Linked DNA regions of Tribolium castaneum. The protein of the gene in region 7 interacts with the protein of the main gene of each other region in a pairwise test. Links are inferred from orthologs where the notes say so. Each region holds a gene or a part of one and is shown on either strand. Other genes may lie near its edges.

Region 1 (2,456 bases), on a different chromosome or scaffold from region 7:
CGTCCATGATGTACTTTTTATCTTATTTTATTTTCGTTTCCAATAATAAACTGTATTTATAATCAAATAAATATCGTTACATCAAAACTACGGAGGTCTAAAGGTTAGGATACGAAACCACGTTCAAATAAAACGGTCCCGTCCTTGATAGTTTCCTTAGTGCCGCCAGAGAGCGCAGTCGTTCATTATCGTCTGTTTTCTGAGCAATGAATTTTATAAATGATAAAGCATTAAACATAACGCAAAATTTATCGTTATTTATATTTAAAAAAAAAAACTTCTACCAATTTGCACTTTGCCAATATTTTGTAGCGTTTTGAAAAATACGGCACGAAGCGAAAATGTTCTTTTTTTTCTCACGTTTCTTATGAAAATTTCAGTCATTAGTTTTTCTCACAGTGACTTTATTTTAGAATAATACAGTTTTTCTCAGAATTGGTTGAATTTAAATTAATTTAAAGAGTTGGCGCTGAGACGGTATAAGTACTCTATTTTTTGGATTCAGAAAAAGCGAGTTTTCCGTAATCAAAGCCATTTTTTCAAATAAACTTTATTAATATTAATACGACCATAAAATACAAATTATGCAGCGATAACTTTACTCTGTTGCCCCTTCTGTGTCATATTGATCTTGTCACCCAAACTCAGAGCCATCCCCTGCAACAACAAACTCAGCTGTGATTCACACTCAGTGCTACCAACCTGACTCTTGGCCCTGATCCTGATATGTCCAGTAACGGGTGCATCAGGTTTGTTGAACGGTTTTTCAATACTCAAATTAGCGAGAGCGTCCTCTCCAAAGATTGATTTTGCGTACATATTGGCGGCCATGAAACCGCACTGCCCTGACAGGGCCTTCTCCGGAGTCAAACACTTCATGTTGGTGCTTTTGATCAAGTGCTTCAAATATTCCGCAAGGTCGGTTAAGGTCGTATTAACCGAAACCTTATTCTCCCACTCGAACTCGGCCCACATTTGCCTGAACTCCGAGTCGCTACAAGTGGCCGGGACTATGTAATCCATAATATCAATATGGATGTCGTCCAGGACCACCACGTTTCGGTCGGACGCTGCTCCCGTGACGTCATAAACTATGTTCCCGAAAATAATCCCGTTTTCGGTCGAGGCCACTTTCACGTTGGCCTTAATGTTGCAGAAGTCTTTGGGCGCCAGAACCACCGGCTGCGGTTTTTCCACGAGTTTCAAATCGCCGAGAGTTGCCAACTCAAGGGTGCAGTTTTGTAACGTATCGTTGGTCTGGTTGACTATCAAAACGTCCAAAACAATATCATACTGGTTGACATGGACGTAGGCTTCGGCATACACCGGGTCTGAAAAGCCGGTCAATTGAGTCACTTTGTTCAGCTTGTTAACCCCAGTGCTTGTGTCACTGCCGCCGACTCGGCCCCCAACCAAGGCTTGTGACAAGGACGTTTCGAAGACGTTTTCACCCAATTCGCCCGACTTGTCGGCTTGTAATTGCATAAAATTGATCGGATCGTCGGCTTGTATGACATTACCAGCCTTTTCTTTCGCTTTCTGATTGAGTGCTTCTTCAATTTCTTTGGCGACTAACATGTCGTTAAGTGCCTGTCGGCACAAGTCGGTAAAAACCTTGATAATGCTCGGCTGCCGGTCCGAAAGCACCCGCAAGCAGAATAAAACGTGGTCCTTATCATCATTGGTCATGGCCTTAGTTGGCAAACCCGACTTCCCCAAGTGAATAATCCCGGCCATGATCATCATAACTTCGGCATCAAACCGATTCCTTTCAACCGCATTTTTAACCGAACTGCCGTACCTTAGAGCCAGTTTGGTCAAAGTTGAGGCGATCGCAGCCCCGATAAAGAAATCGCCGTCGATTAGATACTGGCGAAGTGGGGGCCGCTTCTCTTTTGTGCTTTTCCTAAAGCTTGATTTACAAACCGGGCTTTTCTCTCGACAAATGACTACTTACTGAACCGTGTTGAAGGCTGATTGGGTGGCGTAAGTTCCGTCAGAAGTGACGAGGGTGCTGGAAGCTTGTGTTGGGTTCGGTTGGGTGACTTCTTCCGAATCTCCGGCCACTAGACGTTGCTCCGCTTCCAGAAGGGGGCCCTCGCCTAGGGTTTGGTTGATGGCTTTAAGTACGGACTGGATGTCGGCCACAGTTGTTGCGTATTCGCCTAAAATCCAAAGGGCGGCTCGGTGGATTTTCACCGATTTTATGTTGGGGAAAGCTTCGAGGAGTTTCTGGAAAATATTTTTTTAAGACAAACACTCGGGCATCATTGAATCTTTTTTTCACATATATAAATTTTTGTAATAATGTTAATAAATGATTAAAATTTAAAATTATTGGTTTCTTATTACGTGATTGTGGATTGTTTTACCAATAGTTTTTGCTCCCATAAACCAAGAAACGCAAAATAGTTCAATTTTAAAGAGACGTTGCGTTAACATTCTAAGGGCAACGA
Region 2 (4,153 bases), on a different chromosome or scaffold from region 7:
TAATTATTAATTTCTTCAGAGTACAGTAAACGCAGAAAAATACCAAAAAAATTACAAAATAGTTTATTATCATAAGAGGTTTATTCCAACAATGGGATAGATATGTCACTGTGAATAAAATTAAAAAATGGTTCAGTAAATATTAATGTATATTATGATTTCAAACTTCAAAAAGTCAATTCAGACAGTTTAAGATTTCGTTCTAAAATCAAGTTGAAAAATAAAATAGTGATATGAAACCTGTAAAAGTCAGCAACAAAAACAATGTTTGCCCGAACATTCAGTTGTTAAAGCTCATACAGTAAAATAATATTTCTCACATTTTCTCGTGTATATTTTGTTTGATTTCGTTCAGATCTTGAAACTTTTTGTAGATATAATTTATGAGGGTTTAAGTAATAATTAAAATGTTTTTCAGATAAAATTGTTTGAAATTGGTTTGAGAACTTAATTGTTACTGGAAAAGTTTACTATTTGTGTCAGGTAGTAATAAAATATGATTTAAAAAATTATATCGAACTATTAAAATGAATTTTTTTGACTTACCGGCATACTCCTGCTCCAAAACGGCCAAGTCTTCCTCAGTGCCACCTTCGAGTTTAATAACGACAGTATCTAACAGTTTAAGTAAGTCATTCGTTTTTGAACAATCAACTGAAACCGCAAGTTTTCCGTTGTTCATCAAGTCCAAGAAAACCTCGACTCTTTTCTGAAGAAAAATTAAAGTAAGCGAAAATGAGATGCAAAAATGCCAATTCTACCTTCAATGCTGCCATTTGTTCTTCTTTTCGTTTTACTGAATCTTCAGGATGGTACTTCAAACGGAACCTTCAGAAAGACAAGAGGGAAAATAAGAAAACAACACAAAAACGAAGACAGACAAATTAAAAAACCATTCACGCGATCAATTCATTCAATGCGTTATGAATAAAGTAATTATCGGTAAAATGTGCTATAATTGTCAAGTGGTGGGTGAAAAATTGTTGACAATTATAACAGCGAAAAACAAGAAATGAAGATGTAATGAAATGAGAGCAATGTAATCGCATGCATTCCGAGACGAACATAATAAAAGTGTTAATGCTGGTAACGTTAATTATTATCTTCGTCTGATTTAAACACTCACACGTAACATACATGTACATATAATAAATTGATAATGTTTCTTCGTCGTGAAATCTCACCTGTTAATATAAACCCTAACAAAGTACGCGAAAGCATATGCATTGCGCGCATAGCTTTATCAACGGTTTAAAGAAATTCCACATCTCATATCTATATTCAATTCAATAATACTTTTAACGTAGTGTATTCACATGTTTTCACACACAAAACACATAATTATATTTTACGAAGATGTCAGGAAGTCTCGAATCAGTGCTGTAGAGAAAAAGGCTTTTTAAAGTAACATGTTGGGGAAAAATAGTTTAAAATTATATTAACCTTAGCATTTACAATTAAACCTATCAATTACGTCTGAAAGAAAATCTCTAGTGAAGGTGGACGTAACAGCCCATTGTTACTTGACACAACAAAGAGAAAAACAAAGTGCTACATACACCTTCGATTTGAAGCCCTGGCAATATTTTCCCTCAATTTACTTTTTTGCAATTCGGTAATAAGCTAGTAATACACACCATTCGTCGTCTTTATGGGCAACAAAAAATTCGTTAAGTTGCTGTCGCTGGAACTCCAATTTGTAGTCATTGTATTTTTCGATAGCTTCACTATCGGAAATGTTATCGTCCTGGGTGGCCAGAAACGCCTTAAAGGACATCATTGGCGGCTGCTGACCCTCAGACTGAGACGATGGCGGAGGTTCTCTGAAGAAATTACCAGCTCTTTGAAAATAGAAGATCACGCGTTAGTAACTGTTATTTTAAATTAAAACCGAAACAAAACGAAATCTAAAATAACAATTAAAACATGCGACTAATTACGATAAACATTCAGATACAGTTTGAGGAAACAATGAACGGTATTTTCTATAAAAATGCAAACCATGCAAGGCGATAAAATAAAACACACAATGGGGCAAAAGTCATTAGCAATTCCCTATTCTAGATTTCTTAACTGATATTATGTAAACAGCTAAAGCAGTTTTTAATTACGAGCATCATAATTTTTTTAATAAACCTTGAACGCTGGTGCACCATTTTTTCCATGCATTTTAGCAAAAACCAGCAACTACCTGTGCGAGCTTTGGTGATAGGGCGAGTAATGGTTGTAGTAGCTATCAGCATAGTAATCGTGGCGCAGCCTCTTGGGGGCTGGGTCCAGACTCGGCGAGTATCCCCTGTCTCTCACCCCCGGGCGGTACTCCCGAGGCCTAGGTCGTGACCAAGAGTCACTATAATTTCAACACTAGGACCGAATAAGCCTCGTATTGACTCTTACCGTTCGGCCCAGTCGTCCCTAGGTCTGGCAACCCGTTCGGCCCCCCTGTAAGTGGCTTCGGCGCGTTCACCTCTGAACTTATCGCGGCGTTTGCGGTCGTATTCATCGTCACTATCAGCCATTTCCTGCAATTAAGTCGGGAAAAGTGAGCACTAGCACTGAGCACCATGAGGGTGTAAGTAGTCAAAATGAGGGGGTGCTAACTGCGGGTGGTGGGTTACTGGTCTAGGTGGGTTCGATAGAAGACTCACTTTCTGTTCTAAAAATAATACTTTTGGCGATTTTCCGGCGAAAATTCGGATTTCTCTTGAGGAAGTTGATACAAAATTATGGCCGACACGTCAAAGACGCCGTGGGGGTTTTGCAGCCACCAACCTATGGTGGTATGACTGGTGACGCCGCATTATCGCAACATTTAAACGCAAAAAACTGCTCATTGTGGGATTATTTATTTTTGTTTCAATTACTACAGTCATGTAACTGAGTTGATAAGCTGTAAGAACAGCTACAACAGCCCGTAATTTGCATTTTTAATTTTTTTATTTGGATACCGGTCCCTCCAAAAAAGCAAAATCCCTAGCTTTGATTACTGACGTCAGTTGTAAGATGGTGGACGTCCGTTCGTGCGTTGTGAAATCTCATGTTGTAACGGTTTTATAAACGTTTTCTAAAATTTGTGAAATTGCTCGTTTAAATGTACGTTTGAGTGGACGCTTTTCAAAATGTTTCCCACAAGGAAAGCCGATGTCGATAAACACGTTGAAGAATGCTTGAAGAAGATAAATAACGAGACAGAGGTAAGGTTTTGAAATCGCTGTCATTCCGTTACGCCGGTCGAGAATTTCTCATTTTTTCGCGTTTTGAAAACGCGTTTGCTTATCAGAAAGGGCCCAAAAAACCATCACCCTTATCGATTCCACCTGTCCTAATTTTAAAAATTGCGTATCATTTATTATTGGAAGAATGTCTCACGCATCAATGTCACATGCAGGGAACCTTTGGCGGGAAATTATTTTTAGATTATAAAAATTCTTAAATTACGCTTCGTGTTAGGTCCAATTTGCCAAGATTTTTGGCAGTGTTGGCGAATCGTTGGCCTTTTTTGTTATCCAGCTGAGCCGGCAAGGTCATGCCTAATCAATAAATTGGCTAAACCCTTCTATCATTTGAAATACTCATTAACACAGTTATTAATTATTATATTTTGTAATTATTATTAATTTTGTTACACCTCTTACACCGTGGCGGCTTGAGGGTTCAAGAGTCAGTGAACAGCTAACAGCTAGTACACAATTTTTTTTTGTAGTTAATGATAGCTCCAAGTGCTCCAACATTTCATTTTTAACTTTAAATTTGTATGTGTAATTGTGTATGTATGTAAAAACTCGCCGTTACTTATTACAGAATTTGTCTCTGTATTCTTTAACTAAGTGTAATGTCTGGATTTTTTTTAAACAGCTTTGAGCTACAATCCATAATTTTTGCATTTGGACATGTTATTTCACAAGCTTTATGAATACCTAACTCAAAATCAATAACAATTTTTCTAGAATTAAGAGATAAATTATATATGAACATCTTTTAACAAAGTTGCATATTATTTTTTAGTTTTATTTAGTAACAAATCAAATACTAATGGTACGTAGTGCCCATTCCTAAAGCTATGAACGGTGAACATTTGACAAAAAAATCAGTACAAAATTCGAAGGTAACACCATGAAAAGTGTTTATACTGAACAAATAAATTTCTAAAACA
Region 3 (4,028 bases), on a different chromosome or scaffold from region 7:
TATATTATTTTTATTTGTAATTTTTCAATAAAAATTACGACACTTAAAATTTGGAGAAGAATACTGGGTGTATCAGAAATACGTATGTTAATTTTAACAGGTAACAGAGCTTAACAAATAAAGCATTTTTTCTATTTGTAATTTTTCAATAAAAGTTTCGCAAATTTACTTAAAATTTGGAACAAATAACATATAGAAATTTGTACCCGCCTATGGGTACAAAAACAAGAGTATCGAACTACTTTCGTTGTGACAGAAACGGACAATTTGAACAATTTAAAACAACAATGAAAATTTTAGTCATGAATACACAGTTCTTATTAAACACTGACCGGCTAGGTATAGGACGTATTGATATCATTACAAATATCGATGTTCTTTCGATGCCGTTAAGAAAGTAAAGTCGTTTCATTTGAAAAAACTGAGTTAGAGCCGTTTTTTGATAACGATTGTGATAAAATTCTACCGGAAAACTTTTGAAGATTGAAACAAAATAATCTATTGGCAACACTGAATAACTGGCCTCCCTGCTAGCTAGTTATATGGAGCCGTTTCACCTGACTGCCATGCCGGCGATCGTCGGGCGGAAGTCTATGACAATTGAGTTTGAAATGTTGACATTTAAATTTGATAGTTAAAAATGCCAAATTAAGATTTCAAATTTGTTACCAGCCTGACGACAAAAAAATACAATCTTTAAAAGTCACCCGGTACTAGTCTTGAATTTTGATAGTTGATAATTCTGAAAATAATATTCAATAAAAAAAAATTATCCACTTATCCCAAAGGGTTGTGATATTTTAAATAAACTATTGAAATGATAATTTCAACATAAAAATTTACATAATTATGTCAAAAACTGTGACAGATAAGTACCAACAACTTGAGTAAATTTTACGCAGTTCAGGAAGATGAATTCAAAAATGCACTAAAAATGTGTGGTTACTTTTCAAAATTTTTAAAATAGCGCCAATTTCTAGTAATTTCGGAAGCTCTGCCATTTTGAAAATAATTTATTTAAACTCAGAATTTTTAAACCTATAGGTACATTAGAACTTAAAAAGTTTCTAATGTAAGCCCTAAAAAATCACCCTGTATAAGACAATTTAAAGAATGTTCATGAAAGAATGGACTGATCCAGAAATACTGAGTCTGTTGGCAACACTGAACTTAAATTTTTAAGGATACCAATGAAGTACGCTTCCAGTTAACAACAATTTAACATTCTTGTGGGGTTGTACGTCAAATAATTGTCAAGAAAAATCGAATTTGGTTCCAATTTTGCAAATTACGAGCACAAATCTGTTGCCCACAGACTCAATATTTCTGGATCAGTTTGTATTTATTTCATTTTTGCGGTCAATGGTCTTTGGGAAGCCCCAATATTACGTTAAATAATATTTTATTTACGTTGTTTTTTGTTATTAATGTTTGCTTATTTACTGTTTTATTTCCAAAACGTGGAGAATTATACCGGGTGACTTCTAAACATTTGAACGAATAAAAAAAACGAAAAATGTTTGACGCCAGGACGGTAAAAAGGATCCATCAAAAAGGCTGTGCTTTAGGAATTCGTACCATACAAGGACATTTTAAAGCTAGGAGAGCAAACACCAACTTGATGAAAATAAATAAAAACTACTTACCTTATCTTTAGTAATTTTCGTAAAAATATTTCTTGTATGCCCACTACTTATCGCTTCTTTAATCCGTTCCGCAACTTTGGAACCTATCCAAATAGCCCCTAACTGTGTTTGTAACATCGACAGTGGTGTATCTCCCCTATGATTAGGTACATTTAGACTTGCTTGTCCCTAAAGCAACCTTTCAACATAACCCAAATGCATACTCAAACCCATCTCACCTGAACAATCAACGTTGAAATAGCCGACGTATTCCTAGCCAAAATCGCCCAATGTAGTGCTGTATTCCCTTGCTGATCTGTCAAATTCGGGGATGCCCCTAACGTCAACAACAATCTAGTCGGATCCAAACTACAAACTTTCCAACACGACCACATCAAAGGCGTCATGCCGGCCCTATCCACCAAATCGGGACTAATCCCCCTTGCGATAAAATACGCCACAAGGGCCGTGTGTCCAAACTGCGCTGCTAAATGTATGCAAGAACAACCCTCAGCGTCTCTGAGCGTCGGATCTGTGCCAGCGTTCATTAAAATCACCACGGCATCGAGGTGGCCTTGGCGGGTGGCCCAGTGAAGGGGGGTTGCATTTAACTCGCCCCCCACAGCGTCCACTTCAGCTCCCTTCTCGATAAAATAACGAATAATGTCTTTGCGGTTGTTGATAGCCGCCCAGTGGAGCAAAGTCACTGTTTCGCTGTCTCGCTGGTTGACGTTATAGCCGGCTTCGACTAGTTCTTTGACGCGGCCAAAGGCACCATACTAGGAGTTATTCGGCCGTTAAGTGAGGTTTTATACAAAGGGGCTACTTACTTGAGTGGCTTTGACGATGTCGAAACCGCTGTAGTCGTGCTCGATTGCTGGGACTGGTGGTTCTTTGGATATTAAACTGTGGCAATCACGTTCGGTGCCAACACAACCGCCGGCACTCGCAGCAGCTGCCCCGCAAGCGTTTTGGTACATTTTTAATAGATCTTTTTAAATTTTTGATCATTAAGTTTGACAGGAGAATGACACAAACATTAATGCAAATGGAGGTTAGGTTTCAATATAGGAACTCTTAAGGTTTCGGACTGGCGGAAATCGATAATTCGTGACGAGACGAATAGCTCTCCGTTAATTAGAATGATCATTTACACATTTTAGCAATATTTGAGTACAATATTACGCGCTATCAGTCGTGACGTCACCTCCCCACTCTTATTACGGTAGGTCAGTTGCTCAAAGCTAAACAACCAGTCTTTTACATGTGGTGTAATACGTTTTTCGGTTTTTTGGTTGTGTTTGTGCGTTAATAACGTGTCAAATAGCTGCAGCGGGTGTAATTTGTGCCACTAGAGACTTTAATTTAATTTAGAAGTGACTTTTTGTGAAAATACGAACTTTATAAAAGAATACAGGGAACCACGTTGTCGGTGAGAAAGTGAGTAAGCTTTAATTATACTTTGAGAAACTATTATATTTATGCATTTTAGTGGCAGAAAAGCACATTGTTAAGTTTCACTTTATTGCGAAATTTTTTGGGGACGGTAATCGCTTTTTAGTTCGGGGAGAAAATGCTTTTACCAGCGGTCACGTCACCAAATTTAGGTTTGATGGCACAGTACAACCGATGAGAATTTCTGCAGAAGTTCTACCGAGCATGAAAAAGCTAAATTATACTGTGGAGGTTTGTATTTATTTAACTGTTAGACATTTCTTCTACAAAGTGTGTTTTAGATTTCATATGACCTAGAAGAAGGGGTTAAGACGGCACATTGTACCTGCCCAAGGGGCAACGTGGCTTGCCATCATATGGCTGCAGCATTATATTATGCTCATTATAATGTAAGTGCTACTGACATTGAGTGTCAGTGGAGTGCCCCATCAAAAACAACACCACAAACAGAAGTCATTAAGTTAGCTGATGTTTACAAGCCGAAATTATCAAACTATACGGCACTGTCTAGGTCCTCTACTGAGGACGAAATTATTCAGTTCCGTGCCGAAATAGGCGTCACGAATGTGGTGGGCTTCACTTGGCTCCTAAGACCAGAAGCAAGTGAAGAAGCCAGAAAAATTATTGCAGATATCGAAGAAATTCTACAAAGCTTAGAATACGTGCAGGCCATAGACAAACAAAAGTTTCTTTTGGAGAAGTGCAGAATAGATGAGGCACGCATTAAACTGGTTGAGGCGTGCACTCGGGGCCAACATGTTAACGAAAATTGGCATGTAGCAAGGAAACATCGTTTAACGGCCAGCAGGTTTGGCATGGTACTATCTGCTTGCAGTAGACGAAGATTCCCACCCTCTTTATTTAAAAATTTGGCGGAAGGCTATTCGCTTGACAGGGTTGCTGCTGTGCAGTGGGGTAAGACCCACGAGAAGACAGCGCTCAGAGAAT
Region 4 (3,500 bases), about 11 Mb from region 7:
TATAAATAGCCAAAATCTGGAGAAGAAGCATTAGAGAGTAGAAATAAGTTCGATACATAAAAAAAGAGTAAATAAACAGATAAAAAACTATAGAGAAGTACATCTAATTCGCTCAATAATGTTACAAAAAAAAATGATATTTTAAATAAGGTCATTTTTTTCGTAATTCAGCTTTGCATTAAGAGATAAAAAAAATACTATAGATATTGAAATGGAGTTGGAAAAGCACATTTATAGCCTATTTTTTCGCAATATTTTGTCAGTAAATGATTATTTACGAAAAATCCAGTGCCAGAAAGTAAATAAGCATTTTTAGCAGAATTACAAAAAATATTTTGTATTAATATGTTGTACAGGATCATTCTATTAAAAGTATATTTTCACTGTAAACCAGCGTTTGCTCTTAAAAGCATGTAATTTTTTTAAAAAAAAATTCTACAATTCCTTATAATGAGAATTAAGTAATTAATATTGAGTCTCTGAAAAAATAAATTTTTATAAGTGATATTTCTAATGACATTTTGAAATAATGTTGTTTTGTTGCTATGTAAAAAAATTGTCACTAAACCGTTGTGTAGCTGACATTTAATTGTAATCAAATTCTAATATGCGATTAATTTCACCTTTTCCAAGGAAATGGCAACCTATTCAACTTGTATTAATTCTTAGTTGTCGATTAAATTTTAGTTGCCATTTGCACAGCAAAACTCAAATTAATGGTAAATTTAAAATTTTATTACTTCGAAAAGTGAGCTACACAATGAATAAACTTATTTTTATACATTTTTTTTTGCTACAGAAATAGTTATTTTTGTTTGGAAAATACTTGAGCACTTTGTGCATCAAGTGTTTTACATAATTTTTGCTCAAAGCAAATATTTTTCAGTGATATAATAATGTTTTTAAAGTAACTGTTGCAAATTCGAAACATTCGGTAGTATTTTAAACTTTAAAATAAAATATTTAAACTTGAAATAAAGACATTTCATGTTTCTAAATTATCTAAATTATTTCTAAATTACAAATGTATCTTTCAATGTATTTGTCTTATTCTAACAAATTTTCTAGGTTTTTTTAGTCTAAATTCAGGTAAGTGTAATTTTTTATTGAATATTTCGAAAAGGTTGTAAAAAGTTTAAAATCGGACTACTTACTGCATCTACTGAAAACAGTCTTTAGGTGAAATGAAATTAAAATCCAAAAGATCATTCTTTTAGTTTTTAATTTTATTTCTAATTTTTCCACACCTGAAATTTTTCGAAAATTTAATTCAAAATTAACTTCTTCCTCGATTTTATGCTGAAATGAAAAAAAAACGAAAAAAATACAGAAATAACTTAAAAAGCTATGCGAAATAAAAAAACTGAAGAAAAAATTAAGATGAGGACAAAACAGGTACTAAATAACAAGAATGAACAAATTATGACAAAACACAAGAGTAAAACAAGAAAGAAGTATGTAAGTGATAAGGATTGTTAAAAAATTTGATAAAAAATACAAAATGTTGTGAACAATTATAAAAATAATAGACTGAAGCAAAAGCTGAAAGAGAAAACGCTTTAATGCCAATACCAATCTAAAACACCCGGTATTAAAAAAGTATTTTTATTTTTTCTATTCGCAAACAAATTGTTCAAGTGGAAAATGATGCTTGCCAAATTATGACTTTGTTATTTTTTGATATTTGTCCCAAAAAAAAAAAATATTCACTGAGAGCGCAAGTAACTCCAGTTCAAACACAAAAATAAACATGTACTCACCATTTTATCTTTTTCTTCATCTTGTGCAATTTCCTTCTTTTTCTCAGCTATAGCATCCAATTTTTGCTGCAAACAAGACAAGCGTCCCTCAATATGATCCAATTGTGCCGAATCAAGTAAACTAGCTGTGGCGCTTAAATGCTGTGCTGTCTCCAATAAAGTTCCTTTATTAGTTGCGGATGCCAATCGAGTCAATTTATCGTTAGAAGATCCCATAATTGACTCCAAACGATGCAAACGTCCCTCAAGTTCAGCCACTCGAGTCGTTTGAGCTAGACGCGCTTGTTCCGGTCGATAGTTTAACTGGTAAACAATACCGGAACCGTCACTTTCGGCTTGAGATTCGGTTTTTTCACGAGCACTGGCTTTGAACTGCTCCAGTTGTGACAACAATTTTCTGAAAAAAAAAACTATTATTTTGAAAGTAAGTTGGCAATATTAAGAGTCAAAATTCAGACGAAATTTCACCAGAAAATTTGTTCAAAAATATAGTATCTTGACAAATGAAAGAATTAACACATTTTGAAATTATTTTCTTAAAAAACACATATAATTACCCGTACATAAAAGCTTCTGTTATTGCAATCGTCATGTAGTGATATCAGTGGCAATGTAATGTGCAAATAATAAATTAGGTACAAGATTACGTTATTTTTTTAAATTTTTCGAATATTCTGCACGTTCTTCACTAGAAATAAAGTTACATACAGGCTGTTCCGTCTAAACCCCACATCAGAAGTAATAGATATAGTAATAGATATTTCTAATAGATATGTATCTGAAAGTTGGTACTCAGCCATAATCCGTTAAGTTCTGTTAAATGAGAATATTTTTAACATGGCGACACTTCCGGTTTTAGCGGAAGTCGCTATCAACTTTCTTATCTTTAATAGAAAACTATGTTGTTATCAGCTTTCACTATACCTAAGTTTAACCGTTTTTGAGATATTTTGGATTTTTTTTAAATTTTTGGATTTGCACCTATCACTTGAAAAATCGGTAACTTTTTTAATTTTAAAAACTTCGAAATCATATTTGGAGAATTAAAAGAGAAAGCCCATATATGTTCTCTAGTGTGTTCAAAATTGGAAAAAAGTTAATAAAACCAAAAATTTTAAGGTTAAGTTTGGACAACTTCAAGTACCCATAAATTATTTTTTTCAAATAAGATGTCCTAATTTTTATTTTACTAGATAGAGAAGAATTGTTTTCTGCATCTATCTGTATTAGCATTCCTTAAACCTATCCTTGATAATTTTCAAGTTATTTTGGTTTTTTGACATTGTTAGGAAATTCCATACTAACCATAGCTATTTTTGCATAGTTCGCCTAAGAAACATTTCTGATTAAACCAACAACAAATTCAGTTCAAAATTGTGCTATCATTCCTCTGCAAACAAAATAAATTCATTGAATGTTGGTTTGAAAAACTTAATTTCTAAGTTTTTCTGTCGTTTCCATTACACAGTATGGCTAATGAATTTCCCAATTCCAACAAAAAGTTATTGTAACTTAAAAACTATTAAACATAAGTATAGAGAATATTAATAGATAAATGCAGAATTAAATTCTCTACCATTTAATGAAATAAAACTTGTGGCATTTCATTTGAAAAAATCGAGTTATGGGTGTTTGAAGTTCTGAAAACTTAATTTGAAACATTTGGGGGTTTATTATTTTTTAGAAATTTGAAAACACCAAAGGAAAGATCTAGGCTTCCTCTTTCTTTTAAATGAGCTA
Region 5 (2,724 bases), about 5.9 Mb from region 7:
CAAAAAATAAAGATATTTTCACACCACACGCCACTGCGTTTTAACGCGATTACATCGAAAAGTTCGTTACGAACTTTGAAAAAATCGCCAAATTAGCCAAAAATATTGTTTTTACTTTTTTCAAGCCTTCAACAAGTTTTGGAGCTAAAAAGTTGAAAATATGCAATCAAGTTTGGTGCAACGGCAACTTAATAAAATATAATTAACATTTGAATTTAATAGTACTTACATGTTACCTTTGAGTGTTACGAAACTTATTTAACATCATGGGCTTCTTTGATCAAATATTTAATTGTTTTCAGGGCTTACAAAGACATAGCTGACTGTTATTACATCAAAACTGCGAAAGTGTGTGGAAACAGCGCTGCAGCAACAACTAAAGAACTTCTACAGTCGATAATTGACAGTATTCTCACAATAAGCTGTGACAATGTGAAGGAGACGCCCAAAGTCAAGGACCCAATGCCTGAGGAATATATGAAAAAAGAAAATAAGGCAACTTGTTCCTTCACATTTATTTCATTTACAATTATTTTTTACAGGCTGACACAATGATTCTTCCAACTGTACTTCACTTACTAGTTAGCATAATATTGATTTTTATTTAAACTTCAACAAATCTAAATTATTGTAATAAAGGTATTGAAAGACATTTTGCTACTTTTTTTTAGACGATCCAAAACCTGCAAATCCCATAATGCTAGCAAGCTCACTTGCTTGTTCAGATGTTTCTTCCAACATTTCCTCAGCTTTTCGCTTCTCTTTCCTTTTCTCCCTCCTGTATTCGCGTAGCTTTTCCTCTTCTTCGGCAATTTCCTGCATGCGAGCTGCCATATCGTAATCTTTTTTCTTCTCCTCCATTTTCCGCTTGTTTTGGTCAAACCTTCGTTTAACTGCGTCCAGACTGCTGCGTTCGATCCGCATCGACATTCCCAAGTTTCGTTGATGCTTTTTGCCATTGATGTGATCCAAAAAGTTGATTGAATCTTTAACAACACAGTCGCAGACGTTGCAGTAGTAGCCCCCCGATTGTGATGTTGGTGTGTTTTTGTTTATTACAATGCTTTTGCCAAGCTTTGAATCCAGGTCTACTTTATACTCTCGGGTTTTTAGCATTTCACGTTTCACCGGGGGGCCTTTCTTTTTCTTGGTTTCTTCTTCGAGGCGCTCGATTTCTTCCCTCTTGCGCTCCTCGGCTAACCTCTCGTATTCGTCCCTGTCCCATTTTCGGCGGTGGTCGTCTGGTCGCATAGTCATTTCTGATGATTTTTCTTTAGCAGGATCACAATCAATTAATAAAAACTCAAGTACAATAACAGTGTTGACAAACTGCAGTACACATTGACAGCTGTCAAATTTTCAAGGTTAGGTTATGTTGCTAACTTCATAAGAATAAAGGTTCATTTTCTAATAAATTGCGAATTTGCGCCATTCAGGATGTTTATATATATCATTAGATTATTACAATTGAATTCATTAAACTCATAGAATACTTAATAGATTTTTTAATTTTTTGGTTATTCGACTCTGCTATTACATCTAACGAAGTTAGCTGGGTTACCTGTTTAAAAATTTAAGATGGGAAAAGATCAAAAAAATCCCGTAATCAAGACAATTAGTTATTTATTTCAATTTTTTTATTAATTTTTAAAATCTAATTCACAGAATCTTTCGTTTGCAATTTTTCAGTCTGTGGCTGTTCAAACTACCACTACGTTATGAGTTAGTTATAAGTTATAAATACCAAAGAAAAAGTGGATAACTCAAAAAATTTAAATTTTTAACAAATTATTATTTTGGGTAGGCAACACAATATTCAAATGGCAGCCTACGCAACTAATTATACAGAGTGTTCCAAGTTTTATGGTCGAAGCAAAAATTAATATTCTAGTCGAGTACAAATAAATTAAATTAATTTAAATTACAAAAAATCAAATTGAATTTAATTCAAAATTAAACTAATTCAAATTAAGTAGCATTAAATACATTGACAAATGTCGAGTTAACCGCGATTAAAATTTAATTGCAATTAAAATGTTTTGTAAACCGGCGCTCTTAGTCTAGACAATTAATTACGCTACCATTTGATATTTTGAATGTGGTCAAGTATTAATTGCTGTGAAACATTATAAACCAATTTTTTAAAATAAAGTTCAAGGTGTATTTTCTATTATATGATAAAATTCTTTCAATATTTAAAACCGTAACTGCTAACATAGAATTATACGATTGTTGCCAACTTTTGAGTAATATTATTATTATTACATTATCAGAAAATTCTGATGTGGGCTCTATTCCACAAACGACTTTTACACTTTGCGCTTGCACGTTCCCGAACACCTTTATGTTCCACCAACAACAGTATTTTGCACACTTAGCAAAAAATATACTTAGCAAAAATACTTCTTTTTACAAAAATATGCCAAAACAAATGCAAAGATTGGTGGAAGACATTAACTTTAAAATTTGCAATTTATGCAAAATGCAAAGTTGCAAAAAATTTTAGTGGAACAAGGTGATATTTAGTGATTAAGGTGATATTAAAAAAAATATCAATTTTAAAAAGCCGATTATGGCGAAACTATAAAGATTGTAATCAAAATCTATTTGATACAATATTACATGCAGCGTTGAGCAAAAGTATTAAATCAAGCGTTTTGTGCGTAAACTATGTACCTTACAAAAAATACTAATTAGTACATCATTAACTACTTTAAAAATGTA
Region 6 (4,043 bases), on a different chromosome or scaffold from region 7:
TCTGGATGCTTTCTCGATCTGCCATCTTTGACGGGAACGTCGCTGTCGTCTCGGCTGCTACTACTGCTCCAGTGCCGACTTCCCGTCGCGCTATCTCTCGTTCCTTCCTTCGTACTGCTACTGCTGTTCGGTGCTCGCGAGTTGGAATGTTTCTCATGCCCTGTTTACAATTTGTGCGATATTAATTTTGATGCAAACTAAACTCCGGTGCTAACTACTTACGCGTGCCGGAGCGGCTGTAACAACGATCCGAGTCTCGTTCTCTGTCCCGTTCTCGACTCCTAAATCGGTCTCGTTCCATCCATTCCCTTGGTTTCTCCCATTGCGATACTTCGGTTTTGCAATTGTAATAATATTTTTTACCCGACGAACTTACATGCTCCGACCAATCACCTACTCTAGCAACCCTTTCCCGATCATCCCTCTGAAAGAAAACACATCCCCATAAAAAAATTATGTGCAAAACAGAACCACCAACTACTGGTATTATGTCTGTTACAAGTCCCAAAAAAACTTTATTTTCAACTGCCACATTGACAGGTAGGTAACAATGGTAACAAAAGCCTCAATTATCACCTATTAGCGGTTTCAAAATTTTGAAAAAAAATGCGAAGGCGTTTTTATAGTTTTGAAACCGCTAATAAATAAAAAAAAAATAATTATATGGACAGTCCAGATTTGAAGATATTCATTCAACTTCAAAGACTGAATTTTTGGGTGTCTAATACATTTCAGTATGCAGATAATCCATTTAGTTATGCAAACAAATCATATCTTACAATTTTATAAAAAAAATCATCAAAATGTAAGATTTAAAAATACTAATATTAAAAAAAATAATTCGGAGTTTCAGCACAGTTTTTAAGTTATTACACGTAGTGGAATATACAATGAAAAATGTATCTCTTTGAAGTATTTGTACGGCATTGGCTAGGAGTGGTACATTAATAAAAAAAAATGGTTTAATGAATTACATTTACAATGGAAATTATTTTTAAGGATAATAATAAAATCGAATTCATTTTAATTGACATAAAGATAGTGTGTACAGTCCTTTAAAGCTAAATTTCTAAATTTCCATGACCACAAAATATTTTTTATGTTTAATAAAGTTTCGAGTTTCGAAAAAAGGGGGGCAGTTATTTTTAAAAATACTTTCAGTATAAATTCAAACATACTCTTCTAAAAAAAAGAAAGATAAAGGTCGACGAAGCTATAATAGAAAAAATAAGGAAAAAAACAAGTTATTTGATCAAAGACAAGAACAAACACTAAATAGGCCAAACCTTAACGTTTATGTAGGTATTTGAACAAGAAAATAAACAGTTTTACAGGTCTTTGTCTAGTTGAACTTTAACAAATGTATTTTTTGTGCGAGTGGACTAAGAATTTAAATACATGACAATTTTATGACTTACTTAAAGTCCATTTCTCAGCTACTACTTAAATTATTAGTTGTGTTGAACTGATTGATTTTTTTGTGGTCATTTAATCACAACGTGTGCAAATAGCTGTGGCTTCGTCCCCTGCTTACCTTATCCACAGAATTATTGTGTACTGGTTTCCTGTCCCTCGAAGACAGGTTCTGGGACATTTTTATTGGATGTAAAATGCTCTTCTCGTCGTTTCTGTCATTGTTGGTCCTGTGCTCAGATTCTCTGCTGCGCTTATCCTTTGGCGATCGGGCACAATCTAAAATGACCAACAGAAATAAACAATTTAACAATTCTGTCAGTAACAAAAGGGTACCTGAATACTTGTCTCTTGACATTTTATAGTCTCTATTTTCTCTCTCCTTTTCACGTATTTTCTGTAGGTAGGAGCTCTTTGATTGATAAGATCGATCACGGTCTCTGGGAGATTGAGAATCTGGGCTGTCCGACCGATAATTACCATTTGGAGAATCCCGAATTCTCTCGTACCTTTCACTAGTGGATCCATAACTCTTCGATGAACTATACTTCGAGTTCTGGCAAGAGTTGGAAAGAAAACACAATTTTAGACGATTTTCCCGCTTTGTAAGCTCGCAACTACACAATTCAAGCGAAAAACGCAAATATAAATAAACTGCGGCAAGTAGGTTAGGTTGTATCTGCAGAAGGTAGCCATGTTTACTATTGTTTTGACGAACATTTTTCCGCCGAATTTTCTTTCTAGCCGCTTTACTGGCCCCAAAACTTGCGTAAAAGCCATCAAAATCTCCAAAATGATGCCCGAACTAACCCAAAAAAAGCCATTTCAACAATTTTGTCTTGAAACTAATTGGGCATAGCCAACTATGGTCATTGTTAGGAACGGTTTAATTTTGCTTGTGATAAGGCAAAGTATTAATAAATTGTTTTGACATTGATTTCGTATTATTATAAACAAACAAAAATCGGTTCAGTTTCGTTAAATTGGAAGGTTTATGTTTACCTGATAGGGATGGGCTTGGTGCTTCTCGAAGTACCTAGACATGGAAACAGAACGCATTAGTAGTGAAACAGGTCCTTGAAGGCATTAAAGCAACCTGGGAACCCCAAAGTTCCTTTAATGCCTCTGAGGTTGTGTCAATAAGACACTGGTGCCTACCCATCGCTCATCCGTTGAGGTTTCCTTGCATGCATTACCATCAATGCAAGTCTCTATAAAATGTTTGTGGCTTTCACAGCAAGCCGATTTGGATGAAAAGGTCATAAAAACAATAAAAACGTTTGAAACCGATCAAGAACTGACTTTCCTACCAGACGCCATGTCACATAAGGGAACAATTTGCAGCTGAAGGTAAATGCTCCTAATTTCTTCCGTTGTCTCATTGGTTGACGTAAGAAAACGTCCCGTCTACCAACATTGCAAACGCTTACACACTAGCGCTTTGTATATTTTTTCAAATTCTTTCGCACGTTTCTCACAACTATTGCAAATAAATGCACGACAATGAACACCCAGCACTTTCTTTACGTAACCGTGTTGTTAAAAAATATTTTCTGCCCTATTCAAAAACACAAACTTTAGGCAATTTTTAGAGATGTTGGGCGCCATGTTGGCAGCGTTGAAATCCCTGATCATCACCGATATCAAAAGAAAAAAATTACAATAATGGTGTAAAATAATACAATTTGTTTAAAGTAAACATCAGGTTTTTGTATCCTTTTTGCAATTTTGTTGTTAATTTTGGAATTTCGTTCGGGACGTATTCAGAAAAACCCTTTTGCTTCACAATGGAAATGGAGTTTGGCCTCAAATAGTGCGAGCATGTTGTGAAAACATTTCTCTACTTCCAAGACTCAGTAATTCTGGGTTATCGCAGTAATTTAATCGTATTTCTCGTAATATGACTGCTAATGTTGCACCAATTACTCGTAACAACAGTGCTTCTCGTCAGTATCTTCTGAAGGTGTTACATACTTAAAATCTTAAATTTTGATTATAAACAACTTTTTTTTAGATTAACTAGTAACAGCGATGTTGGCAAGTCTTCTGGGCGGTCAGTATGATTCATATCAAGCAGATTCTTCCCACAGACTGGTTAATTCAGTCAGAAGGTATTTAACCTAATTAAATCCACAGTCTTTTGCACTGAAGAAAGGAACACAAACTGAAGATTTTGTGAAACTTTCAACTGTTTTTCTTTTGTTTTTCAATATTCTTTTTAATAAGTAACAATTTCATAGTCATTTTTTTAAATTTTTTAATGCATGTGTAATATTGTTGAGAAGTCATACCAAGAAGAAAGAAGTCTCCAAGAAGATTAGTTAAACACGTAGTAGTTTTTTATTGCTTAGTAGTTATTAAAATATAGTATTTTTGTTTTTAAAACTTAAAAAGTAGTATAATGCATCTCCTCTGGGACAAGAAGCTGCAATTTCCACCGTCTTCCAAGAAGAAAGAAGTCTAACTTCAGTTTAAGTAAAATGTAGAAACTAAGTAACATGTGACTGCCTTTTCTAGTCATTTACAAGTGTAAATTATTTGTTAATAAGTGCAATTCAATTTTCGTATACATGTTACATCCTTGCTGCCATTTTAAAACCAAGTTTTGTAGTTACATAAACGCAAAATTG
Region 7 (4,256 bases):
TATTTGTCTGTTTTTGTTTGTTTGTTATGTGTTAATTGTTATACAAATACAACCATTTATTCAAATTCATTGCTCCGAAAACTTAGACGGTAATGGAACAACTGGGCTCTCTGGCGAAAGAAAGAACGGGGACGTTTTATTTGTACGTCGTTTCATATCCTAGCCTTTAGACATCCGTACTAAATACTTACGAAACAATGGCACTAGCGGCGCCACTCCTAACCCGAGCGTCATCATTTCGCAAAAAATTGAACAAAACATCGTCAATTATCCGATTTTGGAAATCACTAGAACCAGTGATATTGCAAATAGTGACGTAGGGAAGCTTCGAAACAAGTTCACACAAAGCGACTTTCACAAGCCAGTACGGATTGGTTGCTAAAAGTGGCAGACAATTCAAAATCGGTAAAACGTGAATGTTGTTAACCGATTCTGCGATTTTTTCCAAACAAACATCCAAACTTATGATTGTTTGTCGCGCACAACCGGACGATTCGTCCTCAAGGCCCTTAAACCAAAATTTAGCAAAGAACAATTACATAAATTGCTATACTTTTATTATAAATTTCACGAGAGAATCCAGCTGAAGTCGGGCAAAATTCCCATCGCAACAATTCGACTCGATCCATTTGTCGTAACTCGAGTGAGTTTCGCTCAACACAGCTGTGATAAAATTGGATAAAAGTGTCCTAAAAACGCCCCGCAGTTGCGGGTCGGTGTGGTTTTCGTACAATATCAAGTCGGCGATTGGTAGGTGATTTTTCGATTTGCATTTTTTACCCAAACAGAGGAGCAATATTTTTGGGTAGATTCGCACAATTGAGGCAAGACAGGTCAAAGCTAGGGATTTTACGGAAACTCGGACTGATTTATCAGGAATACAAACGCCCTTCTGGCCTGACAAAAGAAACGATTTGGTGATCAGTCTCGCACAATAAACTAGCGAAATATCGGTGTCTAGAAAACTACCAATAGCAACGTCCTACAATAAAAAATTATCAACTTGTTTGATGTTGGAAAAGAGTTTTACTGGAAAATGTGTTTCACAGTTCTTGTCATCCTCAATATACGAGTAGCTTTTTTCAGAGGAATCGTCACTTATCGTGAGTCGTTCCAGATTATCACCAACACTGTGACTTTTCCCTACGTATTCAGAAATCTTATAATCGAAACTATCAAGCTGTGTCAAAGACACATCAAGTGAGGAGTTTTTACTCTCACTTGACAACGACTTTTCTAGTTCGTTAGTTTTGGCACAAGGTACGTTCATTACTGAAAGTTTCGACTCATCTATCCATTTTTCTATATCCGACCTTATAGTGTCGGTAAGTTCGGACTCCAGAAACAAATCGTCATTTGCTGCACTTGTCGCAACACTTAACTGACTTGGGGAACGCAGTGCTGACATTGAATAAGAAGTTGGTAAACTAATCCTACTTTTATCTACGCCACTTTCGCTCAATAAAATTTGCCTCAATTCAAGGGAACAATTCTGGAGTAAAACATTCAAAGTTTCTAAAGCTGCATTCACAACGTTGTGATCCTTATTAGAAAAATAGTGGAGACACAACTCGTAAATCTGTAAAAATTAGCTACAAGGCGCCAAACAACAAAAAAACAGTTACTTGTAACAATTTATCCACGGATAAGGAAGCATTATCTCCGTTTTGATTATCGTTCAAGTGTTGTAATAAATTCTTCAAACACGCCAAAACTCCCAATATTAGAAAACTACTTTGATTATCACTGACTGGAATTAACAAATCTACAAATCCACAAACAACAATCAAATGAACACCTGAAACGGAACGACTCACCTAACAAATAATTAATTACGTATGCCATAAAAATAGACGGTTTTCTACAGTTCAGACACACATTTAACACACAAGTGGTCGCAGACCGCCTGATAACAGGCGAAGAGTGTGAGATGTTTTTCAAGAAACCTTTCAATAAATCCTACAACGCGAAACTAATAATTCTAAGCCACAACGCGCCCCTGCTTTACTTTTATCTCAACCTCTGACGTAAAGCTCCCCAAAACCCGCATTATCGGCGCCAAACTATTGGCCAAAGTCTCATGAATCTGCTCCTCAGGCCGCTGCGAGACCTTAATCAAGGTGGGGAAAAGGTTAACCACGTACGGCTTGCCCTTATGGGGCCGTATCAAGTGTGCCAGCTGCGAAAACCGCTTCAAGGCGGCCCGTAGTGATCGAGCTGAACCGTTTTGCTTGATCCCTTTATGTAGTTCAATTTGTACTTTACCAATGTTCCCATCGTTCATGGCCTGGAACCGCTCAACTCAAAAACACGCCACAAACTCGCAGCTCATTACTCTGATCACTTTATTGAGACAGTCCCCCGCTGTCATCCGCACGTCGGACTCCTGGTCGTCGCATAACTGCAAAAGCACCTCGATCGTTATGCTGAGGTAGGTGGGGAAACTGGGGGCGATTTTGATCGTTGAATTGGAAATTGCCTCCGTGACGATGTGACAGTGCTGGATCTTGTCCTTTTTTCTACAATTTGGATGGTTAAGTGGCGTTAATTGGCCAATTGGCTTACTTTGAGGAGTCAAATGTTTGGTTAGGTGCCGAGAGGGTCTTGAGGACTTCCAGCGATTTTAGCAGTTTTTCCTGGGTGGCCATTTTTAGCTAAAGGGGGTGATTTAAGACGGTTTTAATCGGCTGTTAGCTGCTGTCCACCAGTTTTAAACGCATTGTTTATTTTAACATTTTTTAGACACATCACACGAAAAACATACGGGAAAGTCAAGTCGACTGTCAAAACAAATGTCAAATTTTATTTTGCCAAGAATTGTCCAAATTTTAATAATTGTGGCATTCAGTTTGCAACAATATCTTTAAAACCGGCCGATTTTGTGGTAAAGTCACAGCGTTTGTGTGTTTGTGTTTATTTAGAAGAAATTTAAATGATCCGCTGCTTTTTTTCTTTGGGGTGGTACGCCAAATGTCAAAAAATTTCGTCGAACTGTCAATAGTTTTTGTGGAAATAAATAATTAAAATCTTTCGGAAAAATAAACAATGTGTTTCCGCGAATAGCCCCAGTCGACCATGTGATAAGCCGTAATTAACCCATAGATATTACAATGTAGGAAAAACACTTTTCCATTTCCCATGAAGAATGCTAGCATAAATCTTTCCTCCGACTTCTGATGGGACAAGCTGGTGTTATTTGGAGAGTTTGAATGGAAATGTGAAAAAAATGAATAGTTATGTGCAACATTTGGGCCTAACAGCTTGGCGGAAAAAATCGGCACTGTTGATAGCCATAGGATTGCTTTCGATAATAATTTTTGGCTTGCAATTTTCCCGAGTGAGTGACAAAGCGCTCCTAAAGGAAGATAACGGGGGCCCGCACATGATAGTCGCTGAGTCCTTAATACAAAGTAATGTTAAATTCGTGGAAAGTAACCAAAGACCCAGTGCAGCTAAAGTTGAGACGGTTGAGCCAAATTTAGGTTCTTTTACAGACTTAGAACAACCAAGTCGCGACGATATTGCACGGAGACGTCCGTCCATTGAGGCGTTAGAAACAGAACAGCAACTAGGAATACCCTACGTCAACCTGAACTCGAATAATCCATACATTCCGCCAAAACGTATAGTCCACTTGGATTTGAAAGGGGCCCCACCTCTAGTCAGTTTTTTGAAGAAGTTTTTCCCCCTGATACGCAACATGGGGGCCACGGGCCTCTTGCTAGGTTGTAGCCCCACTAACGAAACTTGCCCCTAAGTCAATTGTTTTAGAATATGAAGACATGTTCCCTTATTCCGGCATCTTGAAAAACATTTCGGCCAAAAACGCCTACACTCCCGCCCAAATCGCCGAAATCCTGGACTTGGCCGAGAAATCCCAACTGGAAGTCATCCCCCTGATCCAAACTTTCGGCCACATGGAGTTCGCTCTGAAGCACATTGAGTTGGCGAAACTCCGCGAAGTCCCGGGGAGCCCCCAGGCCCTGTGCCCCAGCAGGAACAGCTCGCTCGACTTCATCCGCGAAATGGTGGAGCAAGTGGTGTCCCTCCACCCAAAAATCAAGTACTTACACATCGGCTGTGACGAAGTGTTCCAAATGGGCGAATGCGAAATCTGCCGCTTGGAACTCCAAGAAACTCTCTTCCTGAAACACGTCCAGAACGTGTCGAGAATAATCCACGAGAGGCACCCGCACCTGCGGCTCATCATTTGGGACGACATGCTGCGCCACCTGTCCCAGCAGAGCATGCTGGAC

What was found.
Region 1: the proteins of htt (region 7) and betaCOP interact in binary tests that used the Homo sapiens proteins (3 or more experiments, as listed by UniProt). The link is inferred for Tribolium castaneum from reciprocal best matches to the Homo sapiens genes HTT and COPB1.
Region 2: the proteins of htt (region 7) and Ars2 interact in binary tests that used the Homo sapiens proteins (3 or more experiments, as listed by UniProt). The link is inferred for Tribolium castaneum from reciprocal best matches to the Homo sapiens genes HTT and SRRT.
Region 3: the proteins of htt (region 7) and Hip14 interact in binary tests that used the Homo sapiens proteins (3 or more experiments, as listed by UniProt). The link is inferred for Tribolium castaneum from reciprocal best matches to the Homo sapiens genes HTT and ZDHHC17.
Region 4: the proteins of htt (region 7) and DCTN2-p50 interact in binary tests that used the Homo sapiens proteins (3 or more experiments, as listed by UniProt). The link is inferred for Tribolium castaneum from reciprocal best matches to the Homo sapiens genes HTT and DCTN2.
Region 5: the proteins of htt (region 7) and zinc finger matrin-type protein 2 interact in binary tests that used the Homo sapiens proteins (3 or more experiments, as listed by UniProt). The link is inferred for Tribolium castaneum from reciprocal best matches to the Homo sapiens genes HTT and ZMAT2.
Region 6: the proteins of htt (region 7) and wcy interact in binary tests that used the Homo sapiens proteins (3 or more experiments, as listed by UniProt). The link is inferred for Tribolium castaneum from reciprocal best matches to the Homo sapiens genes HTT and WAC.

Annotation. Positions count from the first base shown.
Region 1 is NC_087397.1:6,603,324-6,605,779, reverse strand, and holds the end of betaCOP (coatomer subunit beta), read right to left. Parts: intron 2,233-2,456; coding exon 1,958-2,232; intron 1,907-1,957; coding exon 703-1,906; intron 658-702; coding exon 583-657; 3' UTR 501-582; downstream 1-500. UniProt on the Homo sapiens protein: The coatomer is a cytosolic protein complex that binds to dilysine motifs and reversibly associates with Golgi non-clathrin-coated vesicles, which further mediate biosynthetic protein transport from the ER, via the Golgi up to the trans Golgi network.
Region 2 is NC_087394.1:28,909,018-28,913,170, forward strand, and holds the start of Ars2 (serrate RNA effector molecule homolog), read right to left. Parts: upstream 2,801-4,153; 5' UTR 2,649-2,800; intron 2,523-2,648; 5' UTR 2,520-2,522; coding exon 2,398-2,519; intron 2,351-2,397; coding exon 2,192-2,350; intron 1,842-2,191; coding exon 1,638-1,841; intron 829-1,637; coding exon 762-828; intron 710-761; coding exon 547-709; intron 1-546. Other genes in the region: E3 SUMO-protein ligase RanBP2, read left to right, coding at 3,120-3,194. UniProt on the Homo sapiens protein: Acts as a mediator between the cap-binding complex (CBC) and the primary microRNAs (miRNAs) processing machinery during cell proliferation.
Region 3 is NC_087402.1:12,430,481-12,434,508, forward strand, and holds the start of Hip14 (palmitoyltransferase Hip14), read right to left. Parts: upstream 2,801-4,028; 5' UTR 2,606-2,800; coding exon 2,456-2,605; intron 2,405-2,455; coding exon 1,865-2,404; intron 1,815-1,864; coding exon 1,647-1,814; intron 1-1,646. Other genes in the region: uncharacterized protein LOC135267174, read left to right, coding at 3,065-3,065, 3,118-3,311, 3,362-4,028. UniProt on the Homo sapiens protein: Palmitoyltransferase that catalyzes the addition of palmitate onto various protein substrates and is involved in a variety of cellular processes.
Region 4 is NC_087395.1:3,607,076-3,610,575, forward strand, and holds part of DCTN2-p50 (dynactin subunit 2), read right to left. Parts: intron 2,158-3,500; coding exon 1,761-2,157; intron 1-1,760. UniProt on the Homo sapiens protein: Part of the dynactin complex that activates the molecular motor dynein for ultra-processive transport along microtubules. In the dynactin soulder domain, binds the ACTR1A filament and acts as a molecular ruler to determine the length.
Region 5 is NC_087395.1:20,717,014-20,719,737, reverse strand, and holds zinc finger matrin-type protein 2, read right to left. Parts: upstream 1,375-2,724; 5' UTR 1,258-1,374; coding exon 658-1,257; 3' UTR 609-657; coding exon of another isoform or gene 543-608; 3' UTR 501-542; downstream 1-500. Other genes in the region: uncharacterized protein LOC656218, read left to right, coding at 303-495, 543-608. UniProt on the Homo sapiens protein: Involved in pre-mRNA splicing as a component of the spliceosome.
Region 6 is NC_087394.1:31,185,275-31,189,317, reverse strand, and holds the start of wcy (WW domain-containing adapter protein with coiled-coil homolog), read right to left. Parts: upstream 2,801-4,043; 5' UTR 2,613-2,800; coding exon 2,572-2,612; intron 2,450-2,571; coding exon 2,416-2,449; intron 1,970-2,415; coding exon 1,750-1,969; intron 1,693-1,749; coding exon 1,535-1,692; intron 425-1,534; coding exon 223-424; intron 161-222; coding exon 1-160. Other genes in the region: uncharacterized protein LOC103312319, read left to right, coding at 3,445-3,524, 4,025-4,043.
Region 7 is NC_087395.1:14,785,363-14,789,618, reverse strand, and holds the start of htt (huntingtin), read right to left. Parts: upstream 2,801-4,256; 5' UTR 2,649-2,800; coding exon 2,566-2,648; intron 2,520-2,565; coding exon 2,336-2,519; intron 2,288-2,335; coding exon 2,009-2,287; intron 1,960-2,008; coding exon 1,818-1,959; intron 1,766-1,817; coding exon 1,626-1,765; intron 1,580-1,625; coding exon 1,031-1,579; intron 983-1,030; coding exon 554-982; intron 509-553; coding exon 192-508; intron 1-191. Other genes in the region: hexosaminidase D, read left to right, coding at 3,227-3,725, 3,772-4,256.